Regions from separate parts of the Mus musculus genome. Here regions 2 and 3 are each reported to be linked to region 1. The links are microRNA targets in miRTarBase. Many come from high-throughput screens and were not tested one by one. Region 1 holds a microRNA gene; each other region holds the end of a gene's coding sequence.

The links. The annotated mature microRNA mmu-miR-152-3p reads UCAGUGCAUGACAGAACUUGG and lies in region 1 at 6,111-6,131, opposite strand. An mRNA with a match to its seed (bases 2 to 7 or 8) in the 3' UTR can be bound and repressed. Matches are read on the target gene's strand: a 7mer-m8 pairs with bases 2 to 8, a 7mer-A1 pairs with bases 2 to 7 and ends in A, and an 8mer does both.
Region 2: the mRNA of Scml4 is a reported target of mmu-miR-152-3p. Seed matches in the 3' UTR shown: 7mer-A1 at 6,934-6,940.
Region 3: the mRNA of Ociad2 is a reported target of mmu-miR-152-3p. Seed matches in the 3' UTR shown: 7mer-A1 at 5,812-5,818.

What each region holds. Positions count from the first base shown.
Region 1 is chr11:96,845,580-96,856,569 of GRCm38, reverse strand. It overlaps Mir152 (microRNA 152), which reads right to left and starts at 6,177; the gene lies at 6,105-6,177. Copz2 (coatomer protein complex, subunit zeta 2) reads right to left here and starts at 6,694. Exons shown (of 9, transcript NM_019877.2): 1 at 6,574-6,694; 2 at 5,829-5,897; 3 at 3,054-3,135; 4 at 2,421-2,512; 5 at 1,931-1,986; 6 at 1,237-1,314. The coding sequence starts at 6,675.
Region 2 is chr10:42,953,681-42,964,670 of GRCm38, forward strand. It overlaps Scml4 (Scm polycomb group protein like 4), which reads left to right. Exons shown (of 9, transcript NM_172938.3): 8 at 2,209-2,354; 9 at 3,939-7,102. The coding sequence ends at 4,064. Among named protein-coding and RNA genes, the nearest start is that of Gm5079, 32 kb to the right of the region's middle.
Region 3 is chr5:73,317,123-73,328,112 of GRCm38, forward strand. It overlaps Ociad2 (OCIA domain containing 2), which reads right to left. Exons shown (of 7, transcript NM_026950.4): 5 at 10,541-10,588; 6 at 9,159-9,276; 7 at 5,076-6,725. The coding sequence ends at 6,644. Among named protein-coding and RNA genes, the nearest start is that of Ociad2, 16 kb to the right of the region's middle.

The DNA.
Region 1 (10,990 bases):
GGGAACCTTTCCCATAGATGGTCCTGAGGTCACATCTGTCCCTTCCCATGGGGACTCTCAGCTCTGCTCCTTCTACACTTTATACCATGTTCACCGCCATGACTAGCTTTGGGTAATGCTCAACCGAGGAGGGGCTTGTGAGACGGCACAACCATTACAGGTACTTGCCACCAACCTAACAAACCAAGACTGAGCTTGAGCAGGGACCAGGTCTTCCTTCCGTTTAGAATCCAGGCATCAGTATTACCTCAAGCAGCAGCAGGCAGTAAATACAAACAGAAAGAGAGCGAGGCATTCGCCGACCCCAGCCTCCCAGAAGCCCCTGCTCTCAGGTTGCGTGCCATGGAGCACGTAGCCTCTGAACCATCTCTCTCTCTCTCTCTCTCTCTCTCTCTCTCTCTCACACACACACACACACACACACACACACACACACACACACACGGTTTTAGACTTGACCCTGCTAATTCCCTTGCTGTGTGCTCTTCCATAAGTTACTAGAATCTCTGAGCCTCTATTTCCTCCTCCATAAAATGGGCAGGTGTTTCAAGGATGCTGTAATCCCTGTGCCTCCAGCACTGAGGTTAGAAGGCCAGGTGGGGGAAAGGCACTCTCGAAGTTTCTGTGACCAGAGTCAGAACTTTCCTCTCCCCTGATTATTGTCCCCTCTTCCAAGAGATTCTACTAACCAACCATTCTCATAAAGGCTCCCAATCATTTAGAAGTCTGCTAGCATATTAATGAGAGACAATATTTACCAAGGAGAGAAAAAAAAATCCCCCAACTACCAAGGAAAACTATGGGCTTTATACTATACACACCATTTTGTAGGACCTTCACCATCCTGTTGGCTTCTTTCCCATTTTCTTTCCCATTTTAGTGACAAGGAAAATAGACTCACAGAGAGTCAATGCCATGTATCTTGCTGGTGTTGGGGGAGGATTCTCTGAGGTCCTCTCAGAAAGGGACAGGTGTCCGTATTCCTCGTCAGCATTGGAGATCAACCTGAACTTTCCCCATACTTGACCTATTTGGCTGCACACGGTAGGTGACTCTCAGGCTACTCTCCCATTTGACTTGACTTGGACTAATAATGATTTCACCCTCTGCCCTCACGAGTAGGGAGGAATGAGGTTAGAGGCTCACTAGGAATAGGTAGAAGAAGGGAAGATGAGTTGGCCAGATAGAGTTGGACCAGGGTGCTCCCAACATCTCTTCTCCCAGTCCCCTCCTCACCCTCCATCGACAGTTTCATCCAGCACCAAGAAGGCTCCGTCCATGTTCTCCAGCAACCAGCGTTTCTCCACGTTCTTCCTGAGGGCAGACACAAGAGCCTAAGCTTTCTGGTAGCCAAGAGGAACCACGCCCCCTCTAAGGGAGGCAGCTCCTCTCCAGCATCCCTTCCGAACAAGGCCTGTTCAGGAGGATAAAAGGCAGTAGGAACAGAGAGGTGCCAGAGTAGGCTAAGGTCATCCTAGATTGGTTTGTCTAGACTATGTTCCTAGGTAGGTATCAGTAACTGGGGATTTGGGAAAAACCAACTCTGAGTTTAAAGTTAAAAATACTGTTTACAGTGGGGCATGTTGGTACACACCTGTAATTCCAGCACACAGGAGACTGTGAGGGACTGAGAGGAGGTCAGTGTGGGCCATGTGTAACAAGACCTTCCTCTCCCTGTGTTGGGGACTTTTGTTGACACGAATACTTGTAACCTCAGCTAAGTCAGTGTCTTGAGATTTGATATCTGATCATACCCTGGGCATGGGTCTGCCTGGGGGCATCATGGGTGTCAGGGGCCTTGAAGGAAGTTATTCTGGTTCTAAGACTTGCAGGGGTTCCAGCAGGACAGCAGGGCAAAACAGCCTCTCCTCTGAGACAAAGGGAAAGGCCCCGGGGGCTGGGGCCCTGGGGTTCGGAGGGTCTCACTTACCTTAAGATGTGGCTCAGAGAGTCAAACAGGCAGGCAAGCACAGACATGAGCATCAGCTGAGGAGGAGAGAGTGGGAGGACGATAAGAAGAGAGCTGAGGCTGAGAGGTCCAAAGTGGGCCTCTGAGCTCCCTGTGTGGGCCAGACGGGAAGCATTCCCTAAGTCAGAGAGGGCTTGGCTGGAGGCTAATGACTCTTTGATTTGAGAGGGGGAAACTAGTGTTTGGGCTGCGGGACACTGGAGTGATCCCTTGGGTGTCTCCTTCTCAAAATACGCTCAGCAAGAAGCAACAGCTCCCTACAGAAGGTGTGAAGATTTCATTTCTGGGTCCCAAGGGACCTAAGGAACATTACGGATGTGTATGATTACAGAGAGACCCGTTCTGGATGTCCTTCTACCCCCAGACCTATTGCTAGTACCAACAGTGAGCCTTCATAACCCACCTCCAGCCCAGGACAGACCCTTCTTGTCACCCAATCTCTGAAATTCACCTCATTCTCGGAGGAAGATCCCACCACATACAGGAAGATGTCAATGCTGCTCTTGTAGACGATAGTCATGCCCCCCAAAAATGCAATTTCACCTGGAAGGGGGAAGGCTCTCAGATCAGCACACGCCAACCCCAACCTGGGGCTAGCCTGGTCTCTGCTTCCCCAGGCCTCTTCCTTTGTTTTCTACTTCCTTTCTCAAGGACCTCTGGCCAGACTACCATTACCAGGAGGCTGCTCATCCTTGTGGTATGTCTTGAGAAGAGACCTCCTGTTGAAGAGTCAACAAACCCAGCCTAAGGCTGACCTCCCCCTGCCCCACCCCTCCACCCTCCATCCATGCAATGCCCTGGGACCAGATCCAAGTGTGTGTAGGGGGCACACAGTCGGCCTCCTCAGCTGAGAGGAGGGGTGCGGATGAACAGGATGGGGAGCGAAGGTTTCCGGGATGATTGAAAGAAGGGAGCGAAACGCAGCTGGGGAAGAGAGACAAAGAGCCTCCGAGGAGAAGGCAATGGCTTGTGGGTGTGGAAGGCCAACAAGAACAGATGTGGACAGACGTGTCCGGATGGAGAAGATGACAGACACTGGTGGTCAGTCATCTGAGAGCTTCCGTGGAGGATGGGTGGGCCTTACTTTCGGTGCGGCTGGTCTTGTTGAAGACATTTTTCTCGAAAACCATCTGCTCCTTCACGGAGGGAAATGTGTCGTCATAATACTATGAGAAAGAGAAGACAATAGCCATTGCATGGAGCTAGCTCCTGCCTCAGGAGAGGGCTTAGCAGGGAGCATCAGGGGCCAGGCTGCACCTCCTTGTCACCTCCCTCCCAGCACTATCTTCTCCTTGGTCCCCATAAACAAATTCCAAGGGAAGAGAAATGAAAGTAGAGAAATGGGCTGGAGAGATGGCTCAGTGGTTAAGAGCACTGACTGCTCTTCCAGAGATCTTGAGTTCAATTTCCAGCAACCACATGGTGACTCACAACCATCTGTCATGGAATCCGATGCCCTCTTCTGGTGTGTCTGAAGATAGCTATAGTGTATTCATATGCATAAAATCAATAAATAAATCTCTTTTTTTTGTTTTTTGTTTTTGTTTTTGTTTTTCGAGACAGGGTTTCTCTGTATAGCCCTGGCTGTGCTGGAACTCACTTTGTAGACCAGGCTGACCTCAAACTCAGAAATTCGCCCGCCTCTGCCTCCCAAGTGCTGGGATTAAAGGCGTGCCTCACCACTGCTTCATCTGCAATTTAATATATAACAAGGATAGGACCTTCTAGAAGGAGGCCCCAGAAACTTTGGCAGGGCCAATCCACCTCTGCCCATTGGCTGAAGCAAGGTGTGGTCAGCTCAAATTTCTGCATGTGAACTTTGCATCCCACAGTCAATTCTGCAGGCAAGTTAGTAGTCTCTCTGCTGTCTCCTACAATGGTGAACAAACTCATTTGAATGCTAAAGAAGACCGAAAAGGCTTTAACATATTTAATAACTAATTTAGATGTTATAGCTGGGGGTGGTGTCACATGCCTGCAATCCCAGCACTTGGGAGGAAGAAGCAGGAAGATCAGGGGTTCTAGGCCAACCTTGACTACACGAGACCCCGTCTCAAAAAGAAAAAAACCGAATAGTATGGCTCACAAATGCAATCTCAGCACTTGGGAGGCTGAGGTAGGATCACTGTGTGACTTCCAGGCTAACCTGGGCTACACAGTAAGTTCCAGGCCAACAAAGTAACCCCCTGTTTCAAAAACACAAAACAGGCAAACAAAATTAATCTGGTTGTGGGCTGGTTGTGGTGGCATCTGTCAACACCAGCACTCAGGAAGCAGAGGCAGGCTACTCTCTGAGTTCCAGGTCGACAGACTGAGTTCCAGGATGGCCAAGGTGACACAGAGAAACCCTGTCTCAAAAACCACACACACACACATACACACACACACCCCAAACAAACAAACAAACAAACAAACAAAAAACTAGGGGATGGTGTTCCACACTTGCCAGTGATTTCAGCACTCAAGAGGCAGAAGCAGGAAAAACAGGACCTGGTCCACAACAAAACAAAACACAACACAAATCAAAACTTAAGTAGTACTAAATTTCTGTTACAGTTAATTACATTGATGGCAGGAATTTTGTTTATTTATTTATTTATTTTTTAAAAAGATTTATTTATTATTATACATAAGTGCACTGTAGCTGATTTCAGATGCAACAGAAGAGGACATCAGATCTCATTAGTGGTAGTTGTGAGCCACCATGTGTTTTTTGGGATTTGAACTCAGGACCTTTGGAAGAGCAGTCAGTGCTCTTACCAGCTGAGCCATCTCGCCAGCCCTTGTTTGTTTATTTATTTATTTATTTATTTACTATTGAGTTTTTGCATTTGTTTTTGAAACAGGTCTTATTATGTATCCCAGGCTGGCCTCAAACTCACAGAGATTCACCTGCCTCTGTCTCCCGAATGCTGGAATTCAAAGCAAGCACCATTGCCTGGCCTTCAAGGTAGCAGAATTTTAGGGCATTTTTCTTCCTTTCTATAGTCTTTTCTTTTTCTTTTTTTTAACATTTATTTATTTATTTATTTATTTATTTATTTATTTATTTAGTGTGTGTGTGTTTTGTAGAGGGACAAGAATAGAGGTCAGAGGACAACCTGAGGAATTTGCTCCTCTTTCAACTATGTGAACTCAGGACCCAACTCAAGCTGTCAGGCTGCTTGGCAGCCTTACCCACTGAGCCATCTGATCTACCCTGAAACTTAGCTTTAAATGTAGTTTTAGCTCATCTCACCCAGGCCATGTAGAATGGATACCGGATAACTGAATGGGAGTTCGAGGAAAACTACCTGAGCCTCACATCTAAATCCTGAGTCCTGGTGGCAATCGTGAGACTAACCCTGTGACCTTAGGCAACTTACTTAGCGTCACTAGACTTCATTGTCTACATCTGTGAAGTGAAAGAGGGAGACTAGATGGTCTCCCCAATCGCACCTGATTCTACTACATTATTATGCTAAGTCCTTCGTGTTTACCTAGCTGAAATACACATAGGCGACTTTGTCTACTCGGATTAGGAACTCAGATCCCTAGGACGCAGGCTCAACTATCCACTGATCCCTTTGGTGGAGCGTCCCACGCCAAGGATGCAGCTGGCCAGGACAAGGACAAGGAGAAGACTCGCCAGGGAACATGAGAAAGAAACCGAAGGGATCCCCACTCACGCACCCAGCCCCTCGCTGTTAGACTGATAAAGCATAGTGTGGACAAAGTGACCTCTAGAGAATCTAAGCTGGGCTGTTCTGCCACCCAAAATGCAGAGTTTCTCCTATAGGTGGAGTTAAAAGGGCTGGGTGGGGACCGCTTGTCTTGGACATATGGCACTGTCTTCGAGGTTCCAGCGGGGAGGGGTTACCTTGGCCAGCAGCCTTCGCCCGTCATTATCTAAGATGAAGACAGCCTTGATGGTGTAGAGAGAAGGTTCCTGAAAGTGACAAGGGAAAGGAACCCCTGACTCAAAGTGGACACCGAGTCAGGGCTCTATGGAGCCAGCTAATCCCCAACCCATAGCTGGTTCCAGCCCAACCCCGTGCCACATGGACCATTTCCGGTGCCCACTCCACTCCCAGACAGATGTTTCACTGCAGGTCCGAGGAGTGGGCGCTGAGTCCGCTGGGTGCAGAAGGTCCTACCGGGCCCAAGTTCTGTCATGCACTGACTGCTCCAGAGCCCGAGTCGGAGTGTATCACAGAACCTAGGCCCGGGGAACAGCGGCGACGAGCCTCCTTATGTCCAGCTGACCCCCAGTTCCAGATGCGCGCGGCCATCATTCTGGAGCAAGGGAACCCAACCAGACCACCTCGCCACTCCCACTCCTCCCTCGTCCCGCCAGAATCTCGCTTCCATCCCGGCCACCCAAGTCGGTTATAACTGCGGCGAGTTCCCCAGAACTTCAGCCCCTCCTGCGACACTCCACTCAGGCAAGGCCTCCTCGCCCGTGCGCTCCAGGACAAACTTTTTCTCCCCTTCCTGGGCCCGGGCTCCCTCTCCGGGGCTGGGCAGTGGTGGCACAAAGTTCCCAGCTTAGAAGCCCGAGGTAAATCAGTTGCCCCCGACCACCGATCCTGCTGCCCCTGGACCCCACACTCCGTGCTCCCTACCCGCTGTTCCGTGGCTCGGGTGGGCGGCGCTGCGCCCCCGGCTTGGGCGGCTGAGGCCCCCTCCCCCGGGTGCGGACGTGGCCAGGCCTCCGGCCGCTGCATTCCGCTCGCTGCCTGCACTGACAGCGCCGCCCCGCCCCGTGCCCGCCCCCCGCGACGCCGCCCCTCCGCCCAGTCCTGCGTGGCTGGCCTCTGTGTGCGTCCTCTCTCTCTGGGCGAGCTTTCTGCCCGACCCCCACGTCGTTGCAGAACCTCGTCTCCCTACTTGGATTCTTCCCTCTGGGCTCCTCTGTGCACCTCCCAGTCTTTCAGGTGAACCAGAGCCTACTCTTTTCTTCCCACTTACTGCCTCTTCTGGCCTAGGGCGCCTGTGGCTTTGGTGCACAGAGGTCTCCATGTGGCTGTTCTGGGACAGCCCAAATTTCAGTTTAGGTTCACTTTGTCCTCAGGACCTCCTAGTAGGTATCATTGGAACAAATAGTTCAAGTCACTTTTTTAAAAAAGAACTCTCTCTCTCTCTCTCTTTTTTTTTTTTTTTTGGTTTTTCGAGTCAAGGTTTCTCTATACAGCCCTGGCTGTCCTGGAACTCACTTTGTAGACCAAGCTGGCCTCGAACTCAGAAATCCGCCTCCCTCTGCCTCCCGAGTGCTGAAGAACTCTCTTTTTTTTAATTTTTGAGATTTTTTTTTTTTTTTTAATGTGAGTACACTGTCGCTGTCTTCAGACACACCAGAAGAGGGCATCAGATCCCATTATAGATAGTTGTGAGCCACCATGTGGTTGCTGGGAATAGAATTCAGGACCTCTGGAAGAGCAGCCAGGGCTCTTAACCACTGAGCCATCTCTCCAGCTCCTCAAGTCACCTTTTTGATCTCAAGACAGAGCCTGTCAGTGAGACCTCTCCACTCGGAAGAGTTCCCCGCTTCCCCTCATAGTACCTGGGGAAAAGAACCATGGGCTGAAGGACACCTCCGCCAGACATTTTTCAAGACCCAGAGGTGGATGAAGCCAGTAGGGTCACAACACACCTGAAGTCCAGCTTGAGCCTGTGGACTAACCCGGCCAGAGTATGACCACATACAGTGAGGTAGTTACTGGTGCTTGGGCAGCCAGCCATTCACAACACTGACAGATGTGTCTTATACTCGAGCCAGCGCTCTCATTGTATGTCAGAAGTCACCGTGCCTAGGGAGGTGTTTTCAGACATACCCATTGAGAGGAGTCAGACTTCGTGTGACCTTTTCAAGCTGGTTGGGCTAATTAGTTGGGTAGGAGGGTTCCACGGGTTTTCCCATTCTGCCCTTGACAGCCTCAGTGTAGAACATCACAGTCGCTCACACCAGACTTCCTTCTGCTTAAGACTTCTCTTTCCAACTTTCACCTTTTTTTGTTTTTTAACAATTACTCTTACTGATCCTTTTGTTTACGCTTTTATTTTACTTAGTAATTATTGATGAGGGGAGGGTGTGACACAGGGCTCACGTGGCGATCAGAGGACAGCTTAAAGGAGTCACTTCTCTCCATCTACCGTCTAGGTCCTGTGAGTTGGATTTACATTGTCTGGCTTGATGGCAAGTGCGTTTATCTACCGAGTGATCTTAGTGGCTTGAAAGTTTCATCTTGAATATCCTCACCAAGGGGACTGGAGAGACAGCTCCATAGTCAAGACTGTTCGCTGTTCTTGCAGGAGACCTAAGTTCAGTTCCCACACCTACCTGTAACTCCGGTTCCAGGGGGATCTGACACCCTCTTCTAGCTTCCCTGGGCATTCCACAGATGTGGTGCACATATGGAGAAGCTAGCACACACAAAAGCAAGCAAGAAAACAAACAAAAAAAAACAAACTTTGCTGGGTATGGTGGTGCATGCCTTTAATCCCAGCATTTAGGAGGCAGAAACAGGTGTACCTCTGTGAGTTTTAAGCCAACTTGGTCTACACAGCAAGTTCTAGGCTAGCTAGGGCTGCATAGGGAGAGCCTGTTTCAATAAATAATAATAATAATAATAATAATAATAATAATAATAATAATAATCTGGGTGTGGTGTGGTATAGGTATACACCTTTAGTCCCAGCACTTGGGAGGCAGAGGCAGGCAGTTCAAGGCCAGCCTGGTCTATAGATTTTCAGTGATGATATAATAATAATAATATAATAACTCATCGAAAGGCTGCTCTGCTGGTTACTCTTTCTCACTTGCTGGCTCTCACCACTGCAGTCTGTTGCCACACTTTCTTTCTGGCCTGAGTTTAATCCCCAGAATGGACATGGTAGGAGGAAGAACTAATTAGTCTTCTGACTAAAATATATAAATTATTTTAATTTTATGTGCATTGGTGTTTTGTCTGCATGTATATCAATGTGAGAGTGTCAGAAGAGTGCCACAAGAGTTACAGTCAGATGTGTGTTGGGGTTAGTCTTGTATGCTGTGTGTTCAGAAGCTGAGTTCTGCACCCCTATCCAGACTGTAACCTGATCTCAGGGCACTGTATTAACCTATGTGCTATAAAGAATGTTCCCCAATAGTCCCTGATTGGTCAATAAACGGCTGGAGCTTATGACTGGTCAGAAAGGAAAGGAAGGCGGGACTTAGGATTGAGTGAGGGTCTCCAGAGAGAACATGAGAAGGGAACAGAGAAGGGGGAGAGAGGAGGAGGTAGCCATGAGAACAGGATGGACCAGGAACATGTATGTGGCCAAGAGAAATTCTCCCCGAGGACACACATGGGGCAGAGCTAGCTAAGAGAGACTCAAACAGCAAGGAACGCAGAGCTGATGGCTGGGATGTAGGTAGAATAGCTCAGAACCTGCCCAGCAGAGGGCAAACAGCTTGTGGCTTTTACTCAGGAACTATGTGGGATAGAGTGGAGCGCAAGCCATCCCATACAATAACTGTAATAGGTGTGAGCAGCCATGTGGGTGCTGGGTCACTGCTCTTAACCACTAAGCTGTCTCTCCAGCCCCAAAGCTTCTTTTCTTTTCTTTTCCTTTTGTTTGTTTGTTTTTCAAATTGGGATTTCTCTGTGTAGCCCTTGTTCTCCTGGAACTTGGCCTCAAATTTAGAGAAATCCTCCTGCCTCGGCATCCTGAGTACTGGGTGAGAGGTTATTTCTCGGCCAGTGAAGTGAGTCAATTCAAACCAGATTAGAATATATTAAAGGCAGGTTTATTGGGAAGTTGCTCTCAAGCCAGTTCACTGGCCTGAGGCCAGGGACATTGGGGGAGGCAAAGAAAGGGTGTATGCTGCAGAGAGAGAGAGAGAGAGAAAGAGAGAGAGAGAGAGAGAGAGAGAGAGAGAAGAGAAGAGAAGAGAAGAGAAGAGAAGAGAAGAGAAGAGAAGAGAAGAGAAGAGGAGAGCAAGCGCAAAATGTCTGGCTTATATAGGGAGGAGCCTCTCAGGGAAGGGCAGGCCAACCTCTGGGCTGGAAAGTACTGGGTTGGATGCAGGGAATGCCAGGTAGGGACTGAGGGATGCTGGGAGAACCTGCTTTTTTTTTTTTTTTTAAAGATTTATTTATTTATTTATTTATTTATTTATTTATTTATTTATTATGTATACACTAGCTTTCTTCAGACACTCCAGAAGAGGGCATCAGATTTTTGATACGGATGGTTGTGAGCCACCATGTGGTTCCTGGGATTTGAACTCGGGACCTTTGGAAGAACAGTCGGTGCTCTTAACCGCTGAGCCATCTCACCAGACCCCCCCTTTTTTTTTTAAGATTTATTTATTTTGTGTATGTGAGTACACTGTAGCTGTTCAGATGGTTGTGAGTCATAGTGTGGTTGTTGGGGATTACATTTTTAGGACCTCTGTTCACTCCAGTTGGCCCTGCTCGCTCTGTCCCAAAGATTTATTTATTATTAGACATAAGTACACTGTAGCTGACTTCAGACACACCAGAAGAGGGTGTCCGATCTCATTATGGGTGGTTGTGAGCCACCATGTGGTTGCTGGGATTTGAACTCAGGACCTTCAGAAGAGCAGTCAGTGCTCTTACCCACTGAGCCATCTCACCAGCCTGAAAACCTGCTTTGGTATGTAAGATATGTGCCTCAGTCCCTACCTGGGTCTAAGAGCAAGCACGAGGATTAAAGACATGCCTTAGGCATGCACACACAAATGCACATACACATACACAATAAACAAATGTTTCAACAATAATCCAACTAAACAAACACGTAAGACTTGAACTCGGGACAGAAAAAAGTAACAGTGAGCTAGCAAGACACCCTAGTACCCTTTCTGTGAAAGTGTGACCACGTCTTCCTCGCAGACGATTAGTCAACATATATATGCTGCATCATGTGCATGGTGGGGACCCAGTCTTTGGGCACTTTGTCTGGATTCTAAATCATGAGAATCATGGTGGTCATGCGGGATGGATATATTATACAATGTGGAGAGCTTTTGGGGCC
Region 2 (10,990 bases), not on the chromosome of region 1:
AAGCAAGGAGACCCACGGAAAAATCATTGCAGGGTACATTGCAGGCACATTTCTGACTTCCCCCATTCTTAGTAGCAAGTACTTGACAACAAGCAACTGAAGGGGGAGGGGACACAGTTTCAGCTCACGGTTTGGGGTGACCACCCCTCATGACAAGGTGGTTGTGGAAGCAGAAGTTGCCTGAACTGGGGCAGTGAAGCTTGATCAGTGCCAGCTGTGCCAGAAAGCAGAGAGAGGAGACCATGTGCTTACCTGGTTGTCTTGGTTACAGAGTCTTTGTGTGATAAAACACCATGACCACACGCAGCATAGGGAGGAAAGGGCTTCATTCATCTCACAGCTTGTATCCCACCATCCAGAAAAATCATAGCAGGAGCTCAAGGCATGACTGGCTTGTTCCCGATGGCTTGCTCTACTTGCTTGCTGGATTTCTTTCTTCCATTCTTCTTGCCTTTCTTTTTCCTTCTTTCCTTCTTTCCTTCTTTCCTTCTTTTCTTCTTTCCTTCTTTCCTTCTTTCCTTCTTTCCTTCTTTCCTTCTTTCCTTCTTTCCTTCCTTCCTTCCTTCCTTCCTTCCTTCCTTCCTCCCTCCCTCCCTGTTTTCTTTCCTTCCTTCCCCTTTCTTTCTCTCTCTTTCATTTTCTTTTTTCCTCTCACATAATACATCCTGACTGCTATTTCCCTCCCTCCTCTCCTCCCAGTCCCTCTTCTACACCTCCCCTCTCCCCCAAATCCACTGCCCCTCTGTTTCTCTTCAGAAGAGAGCAGCCTCCCAGTGATATCAGCCGAACAGGGCATAACAAGTTACAATAAGAATAGGCACAAGTCCTTATATCAAGGCTAGATGGAGCAACTCAGTAGGAAGAAAAGGGTCCCAAAAGCAGGCAAGAGAGTCAGAGAAACCCTGACTCCCACAAGAACACCAAGCAACCATAACACATATCATAACTAGCCCAGATCCATGCAAGCTCCCTGATTATTGCTTCAGTCTCTGTGAGTCCCCATGAGCCCTGCCTGCTTAGTTGATTGGGTGAGTTGTGTTCTTGTTCCTTGACCTCTCTGGTTCCTACAATCCTTCCTTCCCTTCTTCTGAGGGATTCCCTGAGGTCAGCCTAATGTTTCAGCCTAATGCTTTCTTTTAGCACCCACAACTATCAGCCCGGGGGTTGCAGTGCCCACAGTGAGCTGGATGGGCCCTCCCACACCAACCATCAGTCAAGACAATGTAGCACAGGCTTGCCCACAGGCCAGTTGGGTGGGCTCATTATCTCAGTTGAGGTTCCTTCTTTCAGAATGATTCTAGCATTGACTGAATTCACATAACACTAGCCAGCACACTAACCTTCTCCCCCAGTACCTCATCCAGTCTGAGACCCCATCCTCTGCGGTGGCACTGCCCACATTCAGGCTGGGTCATCCCTGAGGTGTGTCTCCTGGGTGATTCTAAGTCTAGTCACACTGACAGTACAAATTAGCTATACCATTAGTGGTATGCCTTTACCAAAGAGTCGGCAAGCATGGCGGGGGTGGGGGGGGGTGGAGGGAGGGCAAACAGGAAAGACAACCCCCTAAGGACTCCTATGAACCAAGGGCTGAGGACAAGGGACAGGTAGTGAAGTAACACCTTCTTCTTCTAATAGCAGGTACAGACAGACCAGACATGAACAAACCCCACCCCACCCCACCCCACCCCACCCTGGTGCTGCTGGAGGTATAAATGAAAGATTAGCCATTGTGCAAAGTCCAAAAGTGAAGACCCACCTCTGTTCTGCCACATTGCCATCTCCAGAGGACATAGGGAGGGCCCAGTATTGCTTGGCCCCACAGGCTACAGAGGCCCATTTTGCTTACCACTCAGCTCACCAGCCCCAGGCACCAATAGCTGTCTATAGCAGACCCTGGTCCACAAACACGAAACGGAACCGAACGTTAGCTAGAATTTTGAACCAGAATTTCAGTTTGTCAAGGATGAGAGCTCTCCCAAGCCTTCTTCCATGGGCAGCAGAGCACAGAGAGGCTGTTGCCCTTTGCGCCTCACTGACCAGCCACTCAAAGCATCTACCTGTCTCAGGGACACATGCGGTGGACTTCAGAGCACTAAGGACTCCATCTGGGAAAGCTAAGGGCTTGGGGGTGACCCAGTAGGCAGCACCAGACGGGCACTGAGTTTCACTGGCTCATGGTCCCCCTCCTCTGCTCACTCCCTCCAGCCCCGAGCCCCTCTCCGGAGGTGCAGGATACCAGGCGACCAAGCAGCAGAAACCCTTCTACCTGGACCGTGGAGGACGTGGTCCGGTTTGTGAAAGATGCTGATCCCGAGGCTCTGGGACCTCATGTGGAGCTCTTCAGAAAGCACGTATGAAAGTAATGGGTCTGAAGGGCGGGCCAGGGAAAGAGAGGCATGGACCGAGGGAGGAGATCGGGATCCTCCAGACGCTGTCACTCTAGACTAAGCTCTAGCAGTGCCCTTAAGTGAGTCAGAGATGGGAGAGACAGAGGCAACCATAGGCCTGGCAGAGGAGAGCCACTGACAGATTTGTGTTTTTAAGGAATATGTTTCTCTTCTGTTCTCTCTCTTGGGCTTTGCCTGATTTTTTGCTAATCCATTCATCCATCATCCATCTATCTGTCCATTCACCCACCCATGCATCATCTATCCACCCATTCACCTACCAGTCTGTCCATCCATCCATCTCTCCATCCATCCATCCATTATCCACTCATTAACTCATCCATCTGTCCAATCCATGCATCCATGCATGCATGCATCCATCTATCCATCCATCCAACCATCCATTTACCCACCAATCCACCCATCTCTCATCTGTCCTTATCCATGTATCTGTCCACCTGTTCATCAATCATCCATCTGTCCATCCATCTACTCACCCACCCATCTACCCATCCATCCATCCACCCACCCACCCACCTGTGCATTCAACAGTCATCTATAGAACCCTGCAATATGCCAGGCAAACTGTGATCCTGTGCTCTTACTGCTTAGACCAGTGGCTTTCAATCTTCCTAATGCTACAACCGCTTAATACAGTCCCTCATGTTGTGGTAACCCCCAATTATAAAATTATTTTTGTTGCTACTTTATAACTAATATTGCTACTGTTATGAATCATGATGTAAATATCTGTGTTTTCCGATGGTGACCCCTGAGAAAGGATCAATCGACCACAAAGGGGTCGAGACCCACAAGTTCGAAACCACTGGCTTAGAGGGTTAAATGAGAAAATGCACATTAATACGTTACATGAGGCCTCACTCATATACAGAGCCTTCACATCAATGTTATAATCACGTAGGCGCTTTTGAAATATACAAAGATAGTAAGTGGGGCAAACGGTAAGAATTACTGTTACCTGCCCAGCTTACGATATTAATTCTGGATTGGTAGTATAACGAATTGCTACAAATCCAGGGTCTTTAGACAAGAGACATCTCTTATCTCTATTTCTGTGGGTCTGGAGCCTGCCTGGATCTCAGGCGTTGGCAGGGATAAATTCGTGTCTAGGTGTTCTAGGGACAATCTGCTTGCCTGCCTTTCTCAGCTTCACGACCCTCTTTAAAGCCAGGATCATCGACCCTGGTCCTCCTCAGGCTGACCTGTCTGTGGCTCTCTCTGTCTTTACCTGGATAGATGACATATACATGAGATAGTAGGAATGCAGGCGAAACTGTCTGCTTCAATCAAACAAGGGCAGGAATCTGAAAGGTGCAAGGTAGCAACTGAGTTTCCGGAGGGGCTGGGAAGACGAGGGCCTCGTAGTTGCTTGCTTTGTTTCCAAGAGCTTTCCCAGAACAAGTAGTATGCGCGCTCTAATCTACTCACCTGTCCTTAAAGTGCCCCTGGAGCACCCGCGGGGCACCCACGGGGCCATAACTACCGTTTGGCTGCTCTGACTGTCCTTTGGCTTTCCCTTCTCTCCAGGAGATTGATGGCAATGCCTTGTTGTTGCTGAGGAGCGACATGATCATGAAGTACCTGGGACTGAAGCTGGGACCCGCACTGAAACTCTGCTATCACATTGACAAGCTAAAGCAAGCTAAATTCTAAAGAGTTGGAAACAAAGCCCCACATCTCCAGGTTACTTCTGCCAGACCAGCATCCGGCCAACATCATGAGTAGACTGTCCTCTTAAACGTCGCAGCCACAACGACTGTGTCTTCTTATAGAACGTGTGCATCCTTGCCTTTTCTAATATTCCTAGTGGCCCCTTTCAGACACTCAACCGTGTGCTAGACTTGTCAGAAAAATCACAAAAAGGCTATTACAGTGTTCCTGACGTGCTGGTCACTCTTTACGGGTGCTATTTGTGCCGCGACAGAGTGGATAACTGAATGCTGTCACACAAGGAGAGCCCTGGAGGGGGCTCACAAAGTCCCTGCAGGGGCTGTGGGGACGCCCCCAGTGGCGGTGGCAACTGCTCCCTGTTCTTGGGACCGATCAGCATGAGTTTCCCTGGACTCAGCCCTGGAAGTTGTCTTCTGATGACCACCTCGCCTTGCACTATCTGGAAAACTTGAATTTTTGTTGCTGTTTTTTTGTCCGTTTGTTTGTTTTTGTTTTTGTTTTCCGCTCTCGAAGAGAAAAGGGAAAGGATGTTTTGGAGCCCTAGCTACTGAAGTCCTTCCTTGCTCCACTAGAGGGCAGACTGCTAACGAGGTTTCGGGATGCACAGACTGCGTGGCCGGGGTAGGGTTTTTATAAGCAAGACCTCGCTTGCACAGGGACAGGGAATGAAGTCCACATTGAGCACCCCAGATTGCCACTTGGGAAGAAATCAGGCTCTGTCAGGCGGGGTCCAGCTCATATCCATTACTTACTGACTTACTCGGTACAAATTCCGAAGCAGCCATCTGCCTAAACAAAGACTGGTGTCCCTTCTCTCCCAGAGTCTCACTGAGGCTCTGATATGACGGCATGCTGAAGAATCTTGGTGACATTTAGCTATGGGTATTTCTTGAAAAAAAGGCGGGGGGCGGGAACTGTCTCGACAAAGTTTGAAATAGGACATACTGATTTCTAGTTTCATGGCTGCGTTCTTAGCTGTGTGTCTGTGGCTAATTTTTCTAGTCTTCAACAAATACGCAGACGTGTTTTTATTGGGTTTAATTCAATTTACAAATAGGTTTTTACTCTTCACTGTGAAGTAATGGGAAAAAATTGATTTTCTACCCTTTGCAGCTGTGTCCAGAGAGGGGGGTGGAGCCAGGGTTTCCTAGGCAGAAGGGTGACCTCTTTACTGCCTATTCTTTATGGAATCCCTCCCCCTTTGTTTATTCTCGATGAATAGAGAACTCATGGGCACAGCCTTTTCCTTAAAGGCACATCTGGGGAAGGTGAGGGTCAAGGATAACCTAGGGTCTCCCTTGACAATAGTATGAATTTTAGAAAGGCACCTTCCCTCAGGCTGCAGTCTGAGCAAGATCTCAGCTGGCAAGTGTAGCCAGACGTCCTGGACTGTAACAAGATAAATGCGGTCTCTCAGATGGATCTACCTATTGTACCAATCAGGTAGAATTTAGGTAAAGAGCACAGGACATACTCCATGCTGTGCTATAAGGGCCCACTTTGATGTTCCCTGTTTGTGGGAGTGTGACATGACCCTGCAAGATCTTTGTTACATATACACGGGTGGTTGGACTTAAGTAAGACAGAGAAGGAGAAAATTGTCCCAGAGCTTCCCACTGAATGGAACTTGATCAGGCTGTGGATGAGCCGGATGTCTGTTATTGCTAGCATGAGGCAGAAATGACCTTGAATTAGACCTTGGAGAGACTCTTTAAGATGATAAAGCAATGAGCGGACTCTGCCTAGAAGAAGATTTTTAACTCTGGGTGCTCGCTGCTGCTCTGAAGTTAGATCCTTGTCTCAGAAAGCATCAGGCAGTTCCCACATACAGAACTGCTTGTGTGAAAGCTTTGAGATTAGACCGGTCACTTCACACAAACGTTTGCCCTTCCCTGGAGGTTCACGGTGCCTCTTCCAGGGACACGGGCTCCTTAGTGAGTGGTGGTATTAAGCTTGCCAAATGTCCTGCCTAAACTTACCCATGTCTCACTGGTGCCCCAAGTTAAAACAAGGCCAAACAAGTCAGGGGAGGCCTCTAATAATTTTTGAAGGAGAGCTAGAACCCAGTTCAAGTCTGTGGAGGAACGGAGCTGTGTCCCCAGACATGATGTCTTATTTCACACGAAGCCTTAAATTAGCTCAATTGTAGAATTCCAGATATTTAAGGTTTGGCCAAACAAAACAAAATAAAACAAAACACCAAGAAGCAATCTCATTAGTCTTGGAATGAGGGGCTGCCACATCACAGAAGGCCCAGCGGAACCAATTCTTCTTGCCTGTTTTTTCATAGAATCTAATTAGTTGACCAAATCAGCATTGCAATACTGCAAGTATAATTAATTTTCATCCCTCTCAAAAATCTTGTCAAACAGCGCAGCTAAATAGCTTCTCAAATGTAAAACATGCAAGGCCACTTCCTCTAAACAGACCTTCCAGGGTCAGACCGTAAGGGTTACCCTGGCCCAGATGAGCAGGACTTGAACTCACACCTGATAGTTCACAGGCTTGCTCTTCCAGCTGCACAGCATTGCTTCAGCTTGGAGTGGATAATGATCACATTTTGCATAATTCCAAATTAAAGAGTGTGGGTGCTCATGTTCCAAACATTTCCAATTACATTTGTCTGTTAAACACTTGGGGGAGGGAGGTTTCAAGAGAGTTCTGTTGCCTAAAGCATTTTAAATGTTTTATGAAACACATTATTCCCTTTGTGAAGATTTTAGATAAAAGATGTGGCCTGTGTGTATGAGTCTGTGTGTGTATTTGTGTATCTCTCTCTGTGTGTCTGTCTGTGCCTCTGTGTGTGTATGTGTCTGTTTATGGGGCTGGAGAGATGACTCAGCAGTTAAGAGCACTGACTGCCCTTCCGAAGGTCCTGAGTTCAAATCCCAGCAACCACACCGTGACTCACAACCCTCTGTAATGGGATCCTATGCCCTCTTCTGGTGTGTTTGAAAACAGCCTACAGTGTGTTTGAAAACAGCTACAGTGTACCCAAATATAATAAATAAATCTTAAGGAAAAAAAAAAAGAGTCGCCACTTTCTGAAACCAGATCACTATGTTTATAAAAAAAAAAAAAAAGGATGTCTCTGTGTGTGTCTGTATGTCTTTCTGTGCCTGTCTATAAACCTGTGTGTGTATATTTGTGTCTGTCTGTGTGTGTGTGTCTATGCATCTCCAGATACTGGAGTTGAAAAATCTAAGAAGTGGTTGTGAGGATAGCAGCTATTGCATGTTCTCAAATATCTTTCCAGCTTTGTAGTGCAGAGGCGCGGCATGGTCTGGTGCGGCATGGTCTGTTACGTGTAGGCATTTCCTCTTATTGTAGCAGGGCCTGTTCTGTGCACAGCTAGATGACCAGAACAGTCCTGGTGCCTAGACTTGTTCCTCTGAATCAGCTGAGTGGAAATGTCAGGACCTGAGGACCTGGATGCCGCAGGAAAGGCCTTACTGGAGAGGCCTCGGCCAGGAACAACTGCCTAAGCGTTTCACTTATGTCTGCCAGGGAGGACATGGGCCTGTTATTTCTCTTCCACAGGATTGCCAATTTTTTCCCCTTTCAGAAATAAAAGAGCAGAGAGAACGCCTCAGCAAAACCTGTGCTCAGAATTGATAACTTGGGAAGAGATGCTGGGCTGAGGGTTTGAGAATCAAACCAGATGAACAAAATTATACACTTCTTAGGAAAACCGTACAATACCGTTTGTGCCCACCGCCCCTGCCCATGACAGCCAGAACCTGATGATGCCACAGAATAATTCTTTAAATTAAAATGGGTTTAAAATTAAATGTATATTCTTTTAGAAGGGTTTGTTGAATCTCTGAAGAAAACTAGAAACACCCAATGTTCTGTTGAACACAGTCATCATTAGAAAGTCTTGAAGGACCTTCTGATCTCTCCCTGAGAACTATTCTAGAGAGAGGATACCTGGAGAGCTATCCCAGTGCATAAGTAACGGGATATGCACTCAAAAGATAACCTACCCCACTTTCCCCAGTGGAGGCAGGCTCGAACTGTTTAGATCATGGATAAAGACATGTTTTGGTTTTTTGCTTTTGTTTTTTACATAAACACACTCAGAGCTGAGTCCCTGCTCTGCTTGTGTGTTGCCACATGATTTTGCTCTGTTCCATGAGAGGTCCAGACTGGGAGCCCCTGGGGGAATCCAGCAGATGTCCAGATGTCCAGAGGCACCAACGGTCCTGCGTCCTTCCATATTGCCAAGTTAGCACCAGCTGCCCGGGAGCCCACTCTGGGCTCTGCAGAGCTAGGGATGCTGGAGCCGCAGCCCCTTTGTGTCTCTCCCTCCAAGGCTTAGTTAGCCTCATCCCACAGGATTCCTTCACGGACAATTGGAAGCTGGGTTTTTGGAAATCTAGTATTTACTTGAAAGAGGATCACTCTTATTTACTGCCACCAGTTAAAGATTAGGGCAACATGTCTGCTAACAATTTGCTTTGTGTAATTTTGTTTTAATGCTAATAAGCAACAGCTGGGACACTTCCTGTGGTAACTTCCTCTGTGGCTACAGTACAGTCAGCACACAAGACTGCACCAAGTGCTGCACTTACGAGCACACACTGGTCTGGAGACGCTGTGCTACGCAGCCAGCTGTACATTTCCCTAAGCTGTGCCCCTGGCCAACCTGCTAGACTTCCTACCTGAGACCTTGGGCTTCTTGGCACACTTACCAAGACACCGTTTCCCAGGCCAGCTGCCATTGGGACCAGGAGTTGATACTGTGACACAGGATGGCAGAACAGGAAGATGACAAAGAAGAAGAGGGCGGAGAACTGGCTTGGCAGTGACAGAATGGCGATTCTTGATAGTGTGGGGACAGCAGCATCTTTCTCTCTAAACATATCCATGAACCACTCAGGCTTGCTCTGTCACCTACTTGACCACATGGCCCGCGCCACGGCGCTGAGGCAGAAAAGTAGTCTACCAGTGGGTCCGGCACGGGAACGAACCAACAACATGCTTCTTCAAACCATGAAATGAGACATGGCGTCATTTTCCTGCAGCCGTGAACTATCAAAGGCTACTTTCACCACAAAAGGAAGCAGCCTAAAATCGTGTGATGTCTCTGCCTCCCCACCCAGGGTTGGACCGCCTTCCCTACAGTCTAGCGAAGCTCTCTGCTTGGCTTCTTCCCATCATAGGGAGTTCCCTCCCTGAGCAGCTGGCTTATCTCTCTGTTGCACAACTCTGGTTGTGAAAAAGTTTACTTCTCAGGGAGTCACAGATGTCCGTGAATCAGATACAAATATTCAAGGTGAAGTAAATTCTGAAATTTTTGTCTGTTTAATAGAGTTTATCCATGCAGTAGCCAAATCTACACCACAAACAGACATTGGCTAGTTGATCTCAACACTCGGCTCCCTGTCTTTGTGGTAGAAGAGTAGACACATATAAGAGTTGTGCCCAGAGGCTGCAGTTAGGTTTCCATTGCTACAATAAACACCATGGAAGAGCAATGTTATGGGTTGAATATGCTTGGCCTATTGGACGTGACACCATTAGGAGGTGTGGCCTTGTTTGAGTGGGTGTGGCTTTGTTGGAGGAAGAGTAGGGGTGGGTTTTGTGGTCCTATGCCCAAGTTCTACCCAGTTAGGAAAAGACAGACCCCCCCCCCTCCTAGCCTATAAAAGATAGTCCTCTCCTGGCTGCCTTCAGATCTAGACATAGAACTCTCGGCTCCTCCAGCACCATGTCTGCCTGCACACTGCCATGTTTCCTGCCATGATGATAATGGATTGAACTTCTTAAACTGTAAGCCAAACCCCAATTAAATGTTTTCTTTTATAAGAGTAGCCTTGGTCACGGTGTCTTTTCACAGCAGTGAAACCCTAACAAAGGCAAGCAACTTGGGGAAGATAAGCATTTGGATTGGTTTTGCTTTTCATCTGCCACATCACAGTTCATCACCAAGGGAAGTCAGGGTGGGAACTCAAACTGGGCAGGAATGTGGAGGCGGGAGCCAATAAAGAGGAAATGCTGTTTACTGGCTTGCTTTTGCTGGCTTACTCAGCCTGCTTTCTCATATAGCCATAGGACCACCTGCCCAGGGATGGCACCACCTACAATGGGATGGGCAATCACTGAATTTACAGCAATCACTGAAAAGATGCACTACACACTTGCCTTCAGGCCAAATTGTTGTTGAGACAGAGTCTCACTATGTAGCCCTAGCTATCCTGAAACTCACTATGTAGACCAGGCTGGTCTGGAATTCACAGAGATCCTGCCTCTGACTACTGAGTGCTGGGATTAAAGGCATTCGCTACCATGCCCAGCTATTAATTGATTGATTGATTAATTAATTAATTAAGTTCATGTGTATAGATGTTTTGTCTGTCCACAAGAAGAAGGCTTCAAATCCCATAGGACTATAGTTATAGATGGTTGTGAGCCACCATATGGGTGCTGGGGTTGAGCTCAGGAGCTCTGCAAGAGCACCCTGAACTCTCAACTGCTGAGCGTCTCTCTGACCCCTCTCCAGGCCAATCTTATGGAAGCATTTTCTCAGCTGAGGGTCCTCCTTCCTAAATGACTCTAGCTCGAGTCAAATTGACATAAAACTCGTGGTTTTGTTTGAATAAGATTGCCCCCCTCCTCCCGCCCTGTAGGCTTATATATTTGAATGCTTGGTCATCAGAGAGTGGCACTGTTTGAAAGGACTAGGAGGTATGGCCTTGTTAAAGTAGATGTGACCTTGCTGAACACCCAAACTAAAGCTGGGCATGATAGCACGCCTTTAACCCAGCACTCAGGAGGCAGAAGCAGGAGGGTCTGTATGAGTTCAAGCCCAGGCTGGTCTACAGAGTGTGTTCTAGGACAGCCAAGGCTACACAGAGAAACCCTGTCTCAAAACAACAACAACAAACAACAACAACAACAACCCA
Region 3 (10,990 bases), not on the chromosome of region 1:
ACTCTTCCCAGAGGACTGGGGTTCAACTCCAGGGACCCACATGGTGGCTTATAATCATTCCAAACTCCAGTTCCTGGCATCTGACACCAAAGTCAAACATCCTGTCCTGAAGGAGTTTCTGGCCGGGTGCAGTAAGGCCTAAAAGCAGAGCCCTGCACAGGGCTCTTCTGCAAAATGGAGCTGCTGGGCTATGGACTGCATTGAAGCAAGGGGCAGCAGGTGTTCTTCCTTAGGAAGGTCACATGGAGATCCTGGAGTCTCGCCTACCAGCTGAGTGCAGAAGTGACCTCCGCATGGAATAGGGTAGTGGTACTCGGTGGTCTCAAGCCTGGGAACAGGCAGGCGTAACCACCAGAGTGTTGTTGGTTGATCTCACCATTTCACTCTCATGTCCTAGGCAGAGCCTCCGCAGAGTGCACACATTCAGTGTTTTAAGTATATGATTGAGTGCAATCCAGTGTACCGCCCAGCTGATCTCCAGGAAGGTCTTGAAACAGTTCAAAACCTTTTTGCATCAAACCCCGGGAAATTGAAGATTTGGGCTAGGATGTAGGTCAGGAGGGTGCTTTCCGGGAATACCCAGGCCCTGGGTTCAGTCCCGAGCACCACAACTGGGTATGGCGGCACACACCTGAAATCCCACCACTCCGGAGAGGAAGCAAGAGGATCAGAGTTCAAGGTCACCCTAAACATACCGTAACTTAGAGTCTAGCCTCAACCTCCCTGTGGGTGGGGTGGGGGAAAGGCTGAGAGGAAGGGGAAAATTAAAGATTGAAGTTTTTCTATGAGGGAGAAAAGCAGAGGACATTTCTGTATTTCATAGGCTCCTTGCCTCTATAATCTCCCTGATCCTGGACTCCAGACCAATTCTAAATATACAAAATTACATTTTCTGATTGAAAAACTTGGAGAAGTTGTTGCTAATTGGTAGTTAGCACTGAGTATTAAAGGCAGGACGATTGCACTTCATTAGGCCTTTGCACTTCATTAGGCCGCATTCTGTTCCTTTTGTGATGCTAAGGGAAAATGGAGAGCATCTCCTGGGCCAGCATGGAAACAGCGTCCTTGCCCACGTGCACGTGTCAAAACCGTAAGAAGCATTATATATATTCATTATGTCGTGTTATAAACATATAATGTGTATATAATGAATAGGTGTATATAAAATCCTGTTGGAAGTTATGTTTAGATGAAGGTAACAAGCATAGGGTAATTATCCTGCTTTTTATTATTATTATTATTATTAAATATTCTATGTAGAATACACTTCAATTCCAGCTTTGAACTCCAGGTTCACACAAATAAGGGAAAATATGAGAGACAAGTGTTTGCCTTAGCTAATGGAGTTGGTTATTTGACCTCATTTTTTTTCTTTTTCTCTTTCTCCTCTTTTCTTTCTCTTTCTTCCTTCCCTTCCATTCCTTCCCTCCTTCCCTTTTCATTTTCTTTTTTTCTTTTGAGACAAGGTCTCTCTTAACATAGCTCTGTGTGTCCTGGAACTCGCTATTTATACCATGCTGACTTCAAACTCACAGAGATCAATCACCCTGAATCTGCCTCGCAAGTGCTGGGGTTAACGGTACACAACTACGTGTCCTGCTCCAAAATTTAAATATCTTTCCCAGCCATCTCCTTGTGTATAACCCAAGAAATAAATATACTCCCCCCCCTGCCCCGCATAGAACAAGTCTTTATTCTTACTACTTTAAGAAGCTTAGTATTTATTCACTCTCTGACTCTGTGCCTTTGACATTGTCACAATGGTTCACTGATGCATTCAGCCCATGTATACACACACAGATATACACACACACACACACACACACACACACATACACACACACACATGCATTGTAGGTCCTGCTGAGTGCTACCTTTTAGGTAATCTCATAAGGACATTAGGTGTCCTAGAACTAACCCCTCCAAGTCTGCCTGGGTACCTGGGCACACACCACATGGGGATCGGGGCTTCCCAGCCTTCTTTGCACACAGGTAAGCAAGCCTATTATCAGGGCTTCAAGAGAGCCTAGTTTTGTTGGAGCCTATGATGGTCTATGGACACTGGACTGTCCTGGGCACCTCTAAACTTGGCCCTGAAAGATATAGATGCATTCTTAGGACATCCTCGGAGTGCTCTAGGGAGGTGTCACATGAAATCATTTCGAGTTTTCTTCCTGAGCAAGGCTCTTCCCTCCGTCATTCTCTGCTAAGAACATTTCATTATGTTCTCTAGACAAAGTCCAAATGTGTGAGATAGGCTTGTCAATTCAGATAGCAAATTTGTCTCTTCTGTAGGTGCATCCTAGGGTAAAGTAAATTAATAGCACATTTTAATTTCCACTAATTATCTTTAATACACACGTGGTCTCCAAGCTGGGATGATTCGACCTGTGTTCTATGATAAGGATAGAAATGTAAGTAAGGGTAAACCATACAATGTCTTGTTTCTCAATCCATTACAGAGTTCAGCAAATCTTACGAGATAATCAACACTATTATAAAATAGGCTTTCTGTTAGATCACTATTCAACTGTCGGCTGTGTTCTTAGTACATTCAGAGTGGACAAGGCTGCTGTTATGTAAGCTAGGTCTACTAAGTGTAGTTTTGACTCAAGATATTTTCATCATTCAGTAGCTTAACCAGGACACTGAACTGAGCAGCATCAATAATGGGTTACATCTTATGCTCTATCTTCCAGGGAAAGAAAGTCTCTGGATGAGGCTGGCTAGGGACAGCATTTACCACTTTATCTTACTCACTTTCTTGCAAGTGTATCTCTGCACATGGGACCTGCTGTTCCTTGACAAGCTTTTTGTCATCCAATCACCCCACCCCAACCCCTGTCATGAAAGTTCTTTCACAAATTTATGGCCCAATGGATGGTGAGTGCTGGTGATTGGTAAGTTTAAAAGATGGCGACACTGCCCCTAACACCGTGGCAGACTTCTCCAGGTACCTGCTTCCTAGCAGGTACTGAGGATCCACAGCAGAAGGTTTCTCCCCGTGGACTGCTTCATACACCAATGTAAATGTAGCTTTTATTTACCAAATGTAATTGTGGTCACTCACTGCTGAACAAGCTCTTCTGTTCTAGTTCTTTCTGAACTCTGGTGGCTGGTTCAACTCAGCTGTTCCAGCTCAAACTCTTCTCCAAGCTGATTCAAACGGGCTTCTCATGGAATTGCTTGGCTTGTTCTTTGTTGTTGTTTGTTTGTTTGTTTGTTTGTGAGACAGGGTTTCTCTGTGTAGCTCCACTGCTCTGCTTGTTTGTTTGTTTGGTTTTGGTTTTTCGAATCACGGTTTCTCTGTATAGTCCTGGCTGTCTTGGAACTTACTCTGTAGACCAGGCTGGCTTCGAACTCAGAAATCTGCCTGCTTCTGCCTCCCAAGTGCTGGGAGTAAAGGTGGGTGCCACCACCGCCTGGCTGCTCTGCTTGTTCTTAAACTAACTCTGGCAATATATTCTAATCTTCTGGCTCTTTGTGGCTTCAACTGCCTTTGCTAACCTGCACTGAATTGCACAAACTCAACTCCACTGCACTGCATTCAACTTCTCTCTCTCTAAGTCACCTCTTTTTCCTACCCTCATGAGAATTGGGCATATCTTTAACTCGTTCTGTAGAATCTTTCTCTGATTTGTTACTTCATCTGCCCCTCAATTAGATGTCACTTTTTAAAAAAAAGATTTATTTATTTTATGTATGTGAGTGAACTGTAGCTATCTTCAGACACGCCAGAAGAGGGCATAGGTTCCATTACAGATGGTTGTGAACCATCATGTGGTTGCTGGGAATTGAACTCAGGACCTCTGGAAGAGCAGTCAGTGCTCTTAACCACTGAGCCATCTCTCCAGCCGTAGAAGTCACTTTCAAAATGGGTACTTCTTTCTACCAACTAACTTTACTGTCATTGTTATAGAGTATGTACTAAGGATGTGTCTATATTCTAGCCAGAAGGATTGAAGGTGTGTTATTCCAGCCAGATCACATAGACCTAGATCATCTTTGGAGGCGATCCCTTCCCGGAGCAGCCAATTGCTGCATTAAAATTCCTCTACAAGACAGATCACCATTGTTAAGCATCTCAAAGAACAAATTATCCACTAAGGAAAAAGTAGACAGCCCAAACAATAAACTCAGTTTAAATGAGAAATATAAAGATGACAACAATTTTTAAGAGTTTCTATTTGATGGTGGTGACACTTCTTTTCCTGGTAGCCAGAGACTGATTGGTAACTGACTGACTGTTTCCTGAGAGGGACCTTTCTGTCATGGAGGAAGGGACTGTGTTGAATGCTAAATTGATGTCAAGAGCTGCGTAATCTTAATCACTAACTTCTATTCGTCAGAGTCAAAAGTTAAACTGTATTCGAGAAGCCAGAATAGGGTCTGGGATGTAGTTTATTGTAGAGCACTTGTCTGCAGTGTGTGTGAGGAAGATGTCTCTGCCACCACCACAGCCAGCAGAGTAACATCCACGGAAGAGAAGGTAGTTTGGTTCAACACAACTAAGTTCAGTGTTGGTTCAAACTTTGGGAGTCTGGCCTTTCATAGTTTGTCTTAGATATATTTAAGTACAGCGCAATTTGATGAAAATGTTCCTGGCGATAACTCAATCACTTGTGCACTATAAAGTGTACACAAATCTCCTTGAGGAACAAAGGAAGCCAAAGAAAGATCAGAAGTGACTATATTGAAATTCTTTGTAAACTACACGTGCATAAACATGGATTCTATAGATTAACTACATGTGACACCTTACATATAGATGGGTTCTATATATAGGCTGCAAAAAAAAAAAAAAAATAACCCCTTGATAAGGACCTGGGGGAGGATCTGGTGTGGTCTTAGCCTCATAGTGCAAAGGTCACTAGACTATTATTAACTGTGTCAGTCCCCAGCCTTCTGGGTAAATAATGGTATGTTTCCCTCCCTTTGATGGAACAACCATGTATGATTAACATTCCATGTGCTTACCTGGGAGCACGGGGACCGTTGTGCCTCCTACACTTGTCTAGCACTTACAAAGTCCTGAATTCCACTTGCAACACAACAAAAGAAGAAAAAGCCAGCGTATTGGCTCTGCCTTGTGATTTTTCAGAAATAGAATTTTATTGACTGTCAAACAGGGCATGTCATATAAAAATCAACGCAGGCAAATTCGTTCAGTGTTCACACAAAAATATTTTTGATGTTCAAAATGAAATATCTCACATCAAATGAAATTTCACCTCTAGTGAAATTTCCCTTTTTACCTCCATGCTTTAGGCTTGCAGATGTGCTGAGTAAAAGCACGTGCACACGCGCTCACACGCACACACACGCGCGCGCACACACACGCTCACACACGTGCTCACATGCACACACGTGCTCACACGCACTCACACACACACACACACACACACACAGACACTCCCCCCACATACACACACCCCACATACCCCATATTTAAATGGTGATGTGTAGACAAAGCATTTTCCTGAGAGGCTGCAAAGATGCAAGGACAGCTTTCACACAGTGCTCAGCTAACTTAAATTAAGCAAAGGGTTCTCAAAAGGGAGGACCAAACTTCCCATGACTAGACTTAGCTGGAGGAGGAATCCAACTTACACCACTGTATTGGCTGCCTCGGATCCCAGAGGTTCCCAGAGTTTCTCTTTTTTATTTTATTTTATTAGATTTATTTATTTTATGTGAGTACACTGTTGCTCTCTTCAGACACACCAGAAGAGGGCATCAGATCTCATTACAGATGGTTGTGAGCCACCATGTGGTTGTTGGGAATTGAACTCAGAACCTCTGGAAGAGCAGTCAGTGCTGAGCCATCTCTCCAGCCCCAGGGTTTCTCATTTTTTTAATTAATTCAGTCCTACAGTGTTCCTTCCAGGAAGCTGTTGTCTGGGGGACCAAGTTAAGAAGTTGTCTTTTTTTTATTTGAGGCCACTAATAATGGGTAAAAGAACCCACTGTTGAGTGCTGACCATGAGAATGGATCCATGGGCCAAGCAGGTCACCTATGGATAGATGATGGTCACTTTTATAGCTCCACCATTGTGATGAGCCACCAAGTCACATTGACCACACTGTGGGTCACCTAGGTTTGAACGGTGACAGTTTCACGGTGACACTTTCACAGGAAATGCTTTCCAGTTACAGATCTCACTCATCTCTAGACCTCAGAATGGACGTCCAATACTAAAACACAACCTTTCCTGAATTTCTAGTTCCATAGACAATGAGTTTTCTATGGGTCTTGACTTCCCAACCAACTTCCACATCACTCATTCCTGTTCTCTACCAGAAAACTTAAAATGCTGAAAATTAAAATTAAATGAGAGTGAGCGAACTGGGGGAGGTGGGGGTGGGCGAGAAGACCCAGAAGCTATTATTCAAAGATCTCCCGGGAAGCTCTAAGCAAGGCAGGGTGTAACTTCTTTCCTGTGTAGTGTGTGATAGCTCCCAAGGAAGCCAAGAATATGCCACGCTCATGTCAATCGAGAGTCTTCTACAGCAAGCATTTCAAAGGGGTGAGAGAATTACAGGTTTCTGTTTCAATAGAAGTATATTATTTTAAGGTACACTTGAAATTTTAAATGTGTACAAAGTCAGAGGTTTAAAAACGGTTGGAAACCACAGACTCAGTTTAGGAAGCAGATGGTTGTGACCCTGCCTTCTCGCTTAATCCACGCCTGGTTTTACAGTCCTCACAGGTAAGCAGGCAGTGCCTAGAAGAGAAGCAGAAACAGATGGTGACTCACACTTTGACAATTGGAACTCTTGTGTCTGTCTGCCTGTCTGTCTGTCTGCCTGTGTCTGTCTGTGTGTCTTCCATCTCCTATCTTCCTAAGTGCTCATCTTACCACAGTAAGCAATGCAGAGAAATGTCTGATTTTATAGTTCACTAGCTCACCTTTTTTTTTTTAAAGTGGGATAATAGTTTCTTAGTTTACTATTATCCAAATACCATTCAATGTTTATGTTGAAACAGATGGTTGTATTTGTGCTTGGAGTCACACAAAAGCTAAACACAGTGACTCTTTGACCTTGAATCACTGGAGTGATTCCTACCACAACAAAAAAATAAATAAATCACAAAGTATTCCAGGTGAGTGGCTCACTTCTGTAGTCTCAAAGCTCAGGACCTAGGCTGGGAAGAGGCCTATGGGGGTTTTTCGATGAGACTTTTGCCTAAAAAGTAGCAATAAGTACACACCGCCTCTTGGACTGCAACATTGATTGGAGCTTGTTATACCTTGACTTTGTTAGAAAAGCAAATGGCCGTGTATTACTGCCTCTGAGGTGAGAGGGTAGTGGCCTTTCACACAGGGCTAAGCCTTGGGTTACCTTACACCAGTGCCAGCCCCGGTGGGGCTTTTCATGCCAGAAGCGGGCGGGTGAAACAGCTATAGAATGCAAAGCTGAAACAGAAAGTATGGCTTCTGGAAAAATGTAGGTTTCATCATTGTTCCAAAACCAAGAGTCATCACAATGCCTCCTTTGCTGACACTGCCTTTCTTTATTTTCCCTACACACATCAGAATCCTGGGCCAAGTGCACCGTAAGGTGACTCCAAAACACAGCTTTGCCAGGATGGAGCCACTCTGGAGTTGTCAGTAAACACTAATGCTTCCCCGCTGGCCTTGCAACCCATAAAGGGAAAGGTCAGGGGTTGCAAACAAATCAGATGTTGAAGTCTCATCTTCCTAGGACTGCCGGTGTCTTCTCAGAGAATCTCTGGACTGTGTGTAACTCAGGGTAGAGGTGATGGTTAGAGACCACCCACGTCTACCAGACCAGGGACGGTAGCATTCTAAAGTCAGGCAACCAGGAAGACAACTTGACCTTGACATCTAGTCCCACGTTGTTTCTGCTGCTGCCCTTCAAGTAGAACATAGCGTGACTGGCTCAGTGGGTGCTTTCTGGAGTATACAAGGTCCTATTTTCAACCCCCAGCACCACATACAACAGCCTGAGGTGGTGTATACCTGTCACGGGAGCACTCAGGAGAGACAGGGAGGCAGAAATGAAGATCAAGGTCATCCTTGAGCTACAGAGCAAGTTTGGGGCCAGCCTGGGCTACACGAGGTGGTCTCTAAAATAAAAGATGCAGCCCACTGTGACAAGTGAGAGGTCTTCAGAGGACTGTGTTTCCAACTAGTTCTGTGGCAGGACAATAGAAGTAATATTTGTTTGAATGTCATCAATAATTATTTTCCTTTCTCACAACACCCCAGGGAAGTTATTCTAGTCATTTTAGACAGATGAGGAACCTAGAGACGAGAGTATAAGAAAATTGTGGTAGTACTGACTTTCAATTTCAAGTCCACAGGAGCAGGGGACTTGCTGTACACTTCAGTCCAACTATGTATGTCCCTGTAGAGACTGTTTTTATCAGGACATGTAGTGTGTGTGTGTGTGTGTGTGTTTGTATGTGTGTGTATGTGTGTGTGTTTGTGTGTGTATGTGTGTTTGTATGTGTGTGTATGTGTGTGTGTATGTGTGTTTGTATGTGTGTGTATGTGTGTGTGTTTGTGTGTGTATGCGTGTTTGTATGTGTGTTTATGTGAGTGTATGTGTGTGTGTATGTGTGTGAATGTGTGTGTATGTATGTGTGTGTGTATGTGGGTGTGTGGGTGTGTGTGTGAGAGAGAGAGAGAGAGAGTCAGAGGCAGAGAGACAGATTAAAGGCTCTGAAAAGCTCTGTAGTAAGGAAGACTGTTTAAATGTTGAGCAATTGTGCAATGCATTCCTCAGAGGTTTATACAAGGCCTAGAATGTGGTAGGTATTCATTAAATGCACATTAAGTAGCATGATTAGTAGTGATTAAGTTAAATAATAGATAATTATTGAAGTTGAATAGTAATAAATCAAAGCTTGAGGGTTAAAGAGTTTTTCCTTAAGAAATAAAATTATTTATGTGCTTCATATTATAGTGAGTAAAGTCTCACTTCACTTCTTTTTGTTTGTTTGTTTTCAAGACAAGGCTTCACTATGTAGCCCTGGCTCTCCTGGAACTCACTGTGTAGACCAGGCTGGCCTTGAACTCACAGTGATCCTCCTACTTCTCCAGTGCTGGGACTAAAGGCTTCCATCATTTAACTCAGCTACTTCACTTCTTTCATTATCTTGATTACAATCCCTCCATCGGACCACAAACCTGTTATGCTCAGGACCAAAGCCAGCACCACGGAGCTGATCTTCAAAGGAATGGAATTTACTCTGGCACACTCTTATATAGGAAGCCTTCCCAAGGCCAAATCCCAAGAGACCAGCCACTGTAAAAGCAGGTTAGGAAAAACAGACAATTTCGAAGCTCAGAATCCTGTCCGTTAACCATTGCTATGCCTTCTTAACCCTGGTCCTTTTTACATTAAACCAAGCCTCCACTAAGGGCAGGTTTCATCTCTGGAGACTTTCTGATTTCTGCTTTGAACTGACGTCAGGAGGGCCAGGACGGAGCACTCACTAAGGCTGTCCCAGACTGGGCATCCAGGACATGACCCAGCTGAAGTTGGAAGGGGAGGGAGGGCAGGTCTGGGTTGTGGCTACAGGTAGCCTCTCTGTTACTGCGTAGTGAAGCCTATTGGAGTTGTTGGTGCCCCCCACCCCCTTGCCTCTGGAGTCAATAGGGAAGGGGCCTTCTGTACAGGAAATCTTCTCTAGCTGGAAATGAGACTCAATTAATTAACTGGAGAATTCTCCTACCAAAACCCATCTATGTGTATTAAGGAGATGAAACCCTGAATTTGCAGTAAATTTCATATTAAAACATCTCTGATTTTTTTTAAATATTACTCACTTTTTAATATGCATTCCAGATAATATTTTTAAAAGATTGTCCAAGCCAAGAGAACAAACCATAACTACCCTAGTGAATCCGACACTAAAGGTTCTGTTGTCAACAGTTAACCTACAGCCGCCGGTTCCATTCTCGCCAGTTCCATAGCTGTGTTTAACCAACAGCAGGTGGAAACCAAGTATTCAAGAAAAAAACAAACAAACAAATAAGCAAAACCCATTTCAAACATGTACAGGTCGTTTATCCATCATTCCCCAAGTGTATCGTACAACAACCGCATGCATGGTGTCTGCTTTGCATCATGTCCTAATGGTAACTGGAGAGTCTTTAAAAAGAGGACACCATTAGAGGTAAGTGCCACATCACTTGTAAGAGGGACTGAAGTCCCTGGGTATCTGGGGGCTATCTATGAATTTATCTCTCATAGATCTGGAGGAAGCTATATATATCTTGCCAGTCTCTGCTCACGCTTTAAGAAAGCCAGTGGCCCAAGTCCCTGATGTTAACCAGCAGGTCAGAAAGTGTTGGGGTGAACCAGGAAGCTTTAGGTCATTGGTAAAAAAAGGAAAGTGCTTTGCAAGGATCGGTCCATACTCTTAAGCTGGACATATCCTTGGTTATATAAACTTTGTCAAAATGAATCTACTTTTTCGTTTGTTTTAATGCTGGAAATAAACTTGGGGCCTGGTACTTCAGCCATTTAGCTATGTCCCCATCCCAAATCTGTATTTATGACTTACATGCAACTTTAGGCAATGATCCAAATCTTGGATTAGCGGCTAAATAACCTGAAATGTAATATAGAAAGGTATTATTCCATTTAATAATTTATTTAACTTTGTAAGAAAAAAACCAAGGCCCACGATATAACATTTCTAAAATGAGTGTGTCATTAGTCTGAAGAATGGTTTTATGATCGATCCGTGGTTTAAGTTAACTCCCAGGAGCTGTCTTAGGCAAATGGTAAATCTTGGCTTTAACATGCGGAAACAATAGGAAACCCACAATTAAAGGCTGATTTAAATTGACTCAAAGAGACTAGTCACGGTCTTTGAAGAGGAATTTGACAGAGAAAGTTCAACAGGGTGGTTCATAGTATGTGCGCTGTAATTTAATTCTTAATGATCTATCCATCAAACTGTCTATCATCTATCTATCTATCTATCTATCTATCTATCTATCTATCTATC